Linked DNA regions of Sus scrofa. The main gene of each other region encodes a partner of the protein of the gene in region 2 in a complex. Links are inferred from orthologs where the notes say so. Each region holds a gene or a part of one and is shown on either strand. Other genes may lie near its edges.

The links.
Region 1: the proteins of RBSN (region 2) and RAB4A are in contact, whole or in part, in a crystal structure (PDB 1Z0K), measured with the Homo sapiens proteins. The link is inferred for Sus scrofa from reciprocal best matches to the Homo sapiens genes RBSN and RAB4A. Residues at the interface, in NP_001289307.1 of Homo sapiens: Glu441, Gly442, Trp443, Leu444, Pro445, Ser447, Glu454, Pro458, Leu459, Gln461, Gln462, Asn465, Ile466, Phe469, Asp480, Glu481, Thr484, Leu485, Asn488, Leu492, Glu495, Gln499; in NP_004569.2 of Homo sapiens: Tyr10, Leu30, His31, Ile34, Glu35, Ile46, Gly47, Val48, Glu49, Phe50, Gly51, Ser52, Lys53, Lys63, Gln65, Trp67, Arg74, Phe75, Ser77, Val78, Ser81, Tyr82.

Annotation. Positions count from the first base shown.
Region 1 is NC_010456.5:60,500,862-60,504,676, forward strand, and holds part of RAB4A (ras-related protein Rab-4A), read right to left. Parts: intron 3,523-3,815; coding exon 3,442-3,522; intron 544-3,441; coding exon 429-543; intron 1-428. UniProt on the Homo sapiens protein: The small GTPases Rab are key regulators of intracellular membrane trafficking, from the formation of transport vesicles to their fusion with membranes.
Region 2 is NC_010455.5:69,420,689-69,424,503, reverse strand, and holds part of RBSN (rabenosyn-5), read right to left. Parts: intron 2,712-3,815; coding exon 2,641-2,711; intron 115-2,640; coding exon 28-114; intron 1-27. UniProt on the Homo sapiens protein: Rab4/Rab5 effector protein acting in early endocytic membrane fusion and membrane trafficking of recycling endosomes. Required for endosome fusion either homotypically or with clathrin coated vesicles.

The DNA.
Region 1 (3,815 bases), on a different chromosome or scaffold from region 2:
AACCCCTAGCCTGGGAACCTCCATATGCCATGGGAAACGGCCCTAGAAAAGGCAAAAGACAAAAACAAAACAAAACAAAGCAAACAAAAAAACACATTCTCCTTCTAAAGTGATTTAAGAGAAAAATTATTTGTGCTCCTACTTTGTCTTGATTGTGGAATACACAATGCCACACTCTCCTAAGGAACTCACTGGTCCCAGAGAGTAAGTCAGCTTCTAAATTAGGATGCATTTACTCAGAAGAGTTTCTAATTCTTTTGTAAATTACTGCTGCATGGAGAAAAACCTGACTTTTAGCTTGTCTTAAAGCTTCCAGAGGTGAGGTTTCTGAAATCTGTGTGGGGGAGGAGGGAACAATTATGTATTAAGAATATAGTTATTTCAAATCCAATTTTCAAATATTTTTATTATGTTAGAGAAAAAGCTACCTGAATCGTTCTTGGCCTGCTGTGTCCCATATCTGTAACTTTACATATTTACCACCAACATTTATTATCTTTGAACCAAATTCCACTCCTATTGTATGATTTGAGTCATCTTTGACTGAAAAAGAAAAAGAAATTTAAGTTTAGAATGTTAAGGAAACAGGTTTATAGATTTAGAGAAGTAACATTAAAATCAATAATTAAGTCAATGGAAAATGCAATTTTCTTTATCATTCATTTTCCAACAGTCAGATGATAATAAGCACTCATTGTTTTAAACGAACACACACAGTTCCTATTCTCAAAGACACAATACAACTTTTTCTCAAAACCTCTAAACAATCCATTTTTTTTGGTCTTTTTAGGGCCACACCTGCAGCATATGGAGGTTCCCAGGCTAGGGGTTGAAACAGAGCCGCAGCTGCTGGCCTACGCCAGTCACAGCAATGCCAGATCCCAGCGGAGTCTGAGACCTACACCACAGCTCATGGCGATGCTGGATCCTCAACCCACTGAATGAGGCCAGGAATCAAACCGCGTCCTCATAGATACTAGTCAGATTGGTTTCTACTGAGCCACGATGAGAACTCCACGACCATTATGTTTTAAAACTGAGGCTTGAAGGGGAACCACACCATGAGATGGTACCTACCGGACACTGCTAAGGTTCTCATAAGTGGTAAATGAATAAAATACAGGGTGCCATCTTGAAGGGCTTACCACCTGGTGACAGTTCTACAACTTTGCCAATGATAGTTTCAACTATTTGGATAAATATTCTATTTTTTTTTTTCTTTTGTCTTTTGGTTGTTGCTATTTCTTGGGCCGCTCCACGGCACATGGAGGCCCCCAGGCCAGGGGTCGAACCGGAGCTGCAGCCACCGGCCACGCCAGAGCCACAGCAACGCGGGATCCGAGCCGCGTCTGCAACCCACACCACAGCTCACGGCAACGCCAGATCGTTAACCCACTGAGCAAGGGCAGGGACCGAACCCACAACCTCATGGTTCCTAGTCGAATTCGCCAACCACTGCGCCACGACGGGAACTCCTGGATAAATATTCTAAACAAATAAAAGCAAAGGGAGGGAAAAGCACTGTAGCCCAAGAAAGAAGCTTGATGGACACAAAAGGTGAAGGAAAATCGGGGAAAAAATAGAGTTAAAAAAAAATCTGGAGTTCCCGTTGTGGCGCAGCAGAAATGAATCCGCCTAGGAACCATGAGGTTGCAGGTTCAATCCCTGGCCTTGTTCAGTGGGTTAAGGATCTCGCGTTGCCGTGAGCTGTGGTGTAGGTTGCAGATGTGGCTCGGATCTGGCAATGCTGTGGCTGTGGTGTAGGCCAGAAGCTACAGCTCTGATGAGACCTGTGACCTGGAACTTCCCTATGCCTCGGGTGCGGTCCTAAAAAGGAAAAGAAAAAAAAAAAATCCAAAACAAACTCCAAACCAAAAACTCTATCATATTATAGCTGTTGAGTTGTCATGAATTTTAGTATTGTAGGGTGATAATTTGGAATGAAATTTGTTGGAGAAATCAATACTTTGTGAATGGGCAGGGAGGCAGGCAAAATAAGTAGTCTGCTCCACCCAACTGGAATAAGCTAGCTATAAAAGAAAATTTCTGAGATGTTGGAAGGATAAGTTAAAAATACATTTCATGGCTCTACAGTTCATTGACTGGTTTATATTTTATAACCATAGGATAAAATTTAATTGTACCAGAAATCAGAGATGCTTCTTAACAGCAGTGTTTACTGCTTCCTGGGGATGAGAGGGTGAAAGGTTATTAGTACTGGCACTGGCAGCTGTCTCAGCCCAGACAGTGCAGACTGAGTGTGGATACCTGGCTAGGATTCAGCTCCTGGGCAAGCCTTCAGAGGGTGACCCTAAAGGCCAAGGACATCCTGATTAAGACATGGCTACAACAGAAATAAAGTGAAACCTATTTCCTCCTGACTGTGGTCCTGTGGAGTTAGGGAGGATCTGGGGGGGGCGGCGGGGGGGAGCCTTCTCCACAGAGGCTGGGCCCCTGACCTGATGTTCCTGAGCAGTCTTTTCTGAGACAGAACAGTGCAAAGCCTGGTAACTTGTAAAGAAGCTTGACCGCCCAGTAAATGGATGCTGGTTAAATTCATAAGGCCTGGCTCCCTGACAAGCCACACTGGGTTCCTGTCCCACACAGGGGTTTGAGCTCTGGGTTGATGAATGTGGAGGCAGAAGGATACATTTCTAGACTACGGTTCTTCAAAGCTCTTTCCCAAGACACTCTGTGCTGCCTCTTTCCCCATTTTACCCACTACTTACTGTATCTTATGCACTTCATTAAATTAAATTAATTCTGTTTTCAGGCTCTCACCTGCCTACCCCTACCGCTACCAAACAGGCCATTCTCCACAATTCTTTCCATCAGTATAAAGCATTATTTTGAGGGCCTTACAATCATACCATCTTTTACAGTAGCCTGGAATACAGAATTCAACCTCCCTTACCAAAACATGTAGGTCAAGGACAAGAGATATTTTCTGTGCTCAAAGGCCCAGGTTTATTTCTAAGCAATTACTAGGTGACCACTCTAGAGCATGCACACTAACTCCTCTAAACCTCTGTTTCTTTACCTGTAAAACTGAACTGATGACAATACTGCCTTAATGACAGTACAAGGCCACTGAGGACCAAATGTTATTTATCCAAAATGTGCAACTAGGGTTCTTGGGCCACCTCCTGTCAGGAAATGGAATTCCTCTGCTGTTTTCCACATCATCATATTGTATCTTAGTATCTAGAAAATGTACAGGACAATTCACTACATAATGAACAATGAACTACTATAAAACTAAAATGCTAAATAAAAACCACATTACTAGAAGTTTAATAGCATGAACTTTTAACGTCATTTAAAAATATTTTTAAGCCACAAACTTTTTTTCCTGAAAACTTATTTGGAAGTTTTGCTGTCAACAAATTTGAGCAGAAGCACTCTCAGAAGAAATTGAGAACACCATGTGACATCACTTACATTTTTTCTCAATAAACTGATGAAGCAAGCAAGACTTGCCAGTTCCTGCATTTCCAATAACCAAGAATTTAAACAAAAAATCTGAAAAACAAAAAGAGACCATGAAAAAGAACTTTAAAACAGGTGCTGTGAACGTAGTCTACAACTGTAACATTTAATGAAATCTTGGTTGTTAATATAACAGAAAAAAAGAGGTAACAAGATTTTGTGAAAAAGGCAATAAACACACGGACTTACCTTTTTACCTTTTCAGCATTTGGTTTCCATGCTGAGCCAGTGCCTTTTCAAACTGCTAAGGGGACAATTTCTTTTGATACTAAAAGTTTGAAAACTACTCTGGTGATGTCTAAAGTCTGTCTCTTTGCTTTTCAAAT
Region 2 (3,815 bases):
AAAACAACACCTGACAACAGACCTTACCTCAGAGCATCTATTAGCTCATAGACTTTCTGCACTTCCACTCGAAGGTCATTGGCATGTTCCAGGCTGTAGGTTGTCTCTCCAGCACTAGGGAGAAATCACAGAGATGTTTGCTCTAAGTTTCATGGCACTGAATGGAGAGTGCGGTGTAAAAGAACTCTACAGGTTTAAGACCTCACAAAGGGGGAGATGGTTAATTCTCTCCAAAAGAACCTGTGTGGAATGTGTGCTCATTCCTTCTCAGAATATTATAACTGGCAATCAACAGGAAGCTGCTTTTAATTTGCAGATATTGCAGGGACACACTAGTGCCAAGGCCTATGAGGACCAGCTCCTAAGCTGGTCGCCAAAATAAATGTGACAGAATCTACTTCAGCCTACTTCCTCTGAATAATTTCAGCGCATCTAATAAGATGAATGAAGCAGTTTACTGAATGAGCTGGTTACACTACATCAGAGGAGAAGGCACGCTGATTTTCTCACTCAAAGACTACTCAGGGAGCAGAGGAACAACAGGAAAGCTGACCAAGGACTCCAGGCCACAGCCCACATGGCACTGTGTCAGTAGCCCCTGCTCCGGGTCTTATGGACAACTGCTCCCTGTGTGAGAAAAGCACCTGGACTCCAACTCAAAAAAGGAGGTGACAGGGTACAGTTCTGCCCAGGGTGGAGGAGGGGACACCCGGAAGGCCAGAGGAGTAGGGCAGTTACCACAGAGAAGGAGTCATTTACAAGTCTGCCACTGCCACTAGGCTGTTGAATTTCAAGTGCAGGGACAATGATTTTTCTTTTCTTTCTTTTTTTTTTTTTGTCTTTTTGCCATTTCTTGGGCCGCTCCCTTGGCATATGGAGGTTCCTAGGCTAGGGGTCCAATCGGAGCTGTAGCTGCCAGCCTATGCCACAGCCACAGCAATGCAGGATCCGAGCCACATCTGCGACCTACACCACAGCTCACGACAACACCAGATCGTTAACCCATTGAGCAAGGGCAGGGATCGAACCCACAACCTCATGGTTCCTAGTTGGATTCGTTAACCACTGCGCCATGACGGGAACTCCCGATTTTTCATTTTTTTATCCCTAGTAATTAGCACAAGGGACAAGTTTAATCAGTATCTACTGAGAGAGAAACATTTCAGACCATCTCTCAGCTATTAACCCAGCCTCAGCAATGGCCCCTTAACTCCCTGAGGCAACAGCAATTTAAGTTCAATAAGCAGAAAAAAACTGCCCTGTTTACCTGTTTTCCCATCTATAAGGCAGTGGTAGCTGGAAAAATCTAGATATGCATTGCAATCTAAGGATTCAGTAAAGTTGTTTCATCATTTCTTTCTTTTTTTTTTTTTGTCTTTTTAGGGCCGTACCCATGGCATATGGAGGTTCCCAGGCTACTGGTCTACACCAGAGCCACAGCAACACTAGATCCGAGCCTCAACCCTGGATCCTTAACCCACTAAGCAAGGCCAGGGATCAAACTCGCAGCCTCATGGTTCCTAGTTGGATTCGTTTCCACTGTGCCAAGATAGGAACTCCCATCATTTCAACTGCACAGTTTACAAAAAGAACATCAGACGAGAACTGAGAAGGCCTGCACTTTTCCTGACATCACCAAGTCATGTGGAAAATAACAAGGTTGGCACAAATCTGCAATCATCACCCTGGTCTCAATCACATCAACCTTAATGCACTGCACCGGGCCGGGGAGAATTAAGATAGCATTGGTGGTTGGAAAACTCTGTGAATGTTGTATGTACTAAATGTGACGTGATGGTTGTACTAAAACCACTGACCTGTATGCTTTATATTTTTTTTGCTGCATCTGTGGTATATGGAAGTTCCTGGGCCAGCGACTGAATCCCAGCCATAGCTGCAGCCTATGTCACAGCTGCAGCAATGCCAGATCCTTAATCCATTGTGCCAGGCCCGGGATCAACCCATACCACCTGAGAGACAACACCAGATCCTTAACCCACTGCACCACTGCAGGAACTCCTGAACTGTACACTTTAAAGGAATGAAATTTATGAGTTAAATCTTAATTTTAAAAGAAAGAGATGGCAGAGTTCCCGCTGTGGTGCAGTGGGTTAAGGACCTGGCACTGCCACAGCTGTGATGTAATTGTACCTGTGACTCAGATTCAATCCCAGGCCCTAGGAATTTTCATATGCCAGGGGTGTAGTCAAAAAAAAAAAAAAAAAAAAAAAAAGAGAGAGAGAGAAAGAGAGAGAGAAATGGCAGGCTAAATATGGCCCATGGGCCAAAGTTTGCCAAATCTTGCCCTAAAGGAAATGCCTGACACCTCAATGTTACCTGGAGTGGCATCTACCCAGGCTTGAGCATGAGGCAGACTGGTCTTGTTCACCCTTGGATACTGTACTTCATTCACAGTGGTGCCTTCACCAGAGGCCTTTCACAAACATGCTCAGTCAGGATAGGTGGGGTCATCTGAACATGACTACACAGGACTGTGATGTGGGCCATAGCAATACAAACTCAACGAAGACTCTCTGGTTGGGCCCAGAGTTAGGAATTTTATTTTCACTACTAAAAACTGACCTAAAGTGCGAGAAAACAGTCACCATTGAATTAGAATGACAGAGAAGAACTACTTACTTTAATGATGCTGCCATCCTGATGTATTCAGGAGCTTTTTGGTCAACTTTCTCCATGCAAGTTCGTAATTTCTAAGAAGAAAAAAGAAGAGGTGAGCTGTGGTTAGAGTACAGAAAAGCCTACCCAGAAGTTGAATCAACAGAGATACATTTAAAACATGAAGTTTTCTAAAATGAAAAAAATACCAAGAGTGGTTTTTTGTTTTGTTCTGATCATTGTTATCAATTTCCTGATTTACACACCTATTCTACAAGCAGAAAATCTTGCAGGAAGGAAAAAAAGTGAGGGTGAACCTTTGACCGGATGTTTTTGAGAAGAGCAAGGCTTCCCAGGACACAAGTCACTTGAGTTTACCAAGGCAGAGAAAAGAAATTAGCTGCTACATTCCTTCTCCTCCGGGTGACATCAGATACCAGCACAAAGCACTGCCAGGGCTCACTTCAAAGAAGGAAGCCAAAAGCAGTGGCTCTTTACCCACATGAGCTATCAGATCATGAGCTCCACAAAGAATGGGTAACTACACCTGCAGCTCAGCAAGGGTTTAATTAACACTATTTCTAGAAGCCTTAGTATCTTCATGTGATGCCAGAAACACAGCTACTCTGATCTGCAGAACTGCTAAGAGTGACCATTAGTGATCATCAGACAAAAACACCTCTCCTTTGCTCAGTTCTGCACAAGCTGCTTTCACTGTCCAGGCTGTTTTTCTCCTCCCCATTTCCTGCCTCCTCCCTGCCCAGCCCCCACCTGGGTCATCCTTCGCAGCTTGCAGGCCTCACCAGGTCAAGTCAGGCTCACTCCCAGCCTGACTCTTAAATCCCATGTTCATGCATCAGGCTATGTTCCTTAAAGTGGCATCTACTGAAGGCGTCCCAAGGTCGCTGGCAGTTAACGAGAGGTGAGGTATTTGAATGGACTTAAAAGGGAAAGCTCTAAGCCTCTGGGCAGTTTATCAAACTCCTGAGCGAGTGTCCCAGGACTCTTGCGGCCCACGTTCACCCCCCACTCCAGCTCCTGCCTTCACCCACAGAACCTGTCCACACCACATGCCAACTGCCCTCCCTCCTCCTGTGCCTGGGCCACCAAAGCCTGCAACCTGCAACTTTCCAGTGGGTAAGGAAGGGTGAGGAGCAAGTTTGGTACAACATACCCAGTGACACCGGGACTCACCGAGG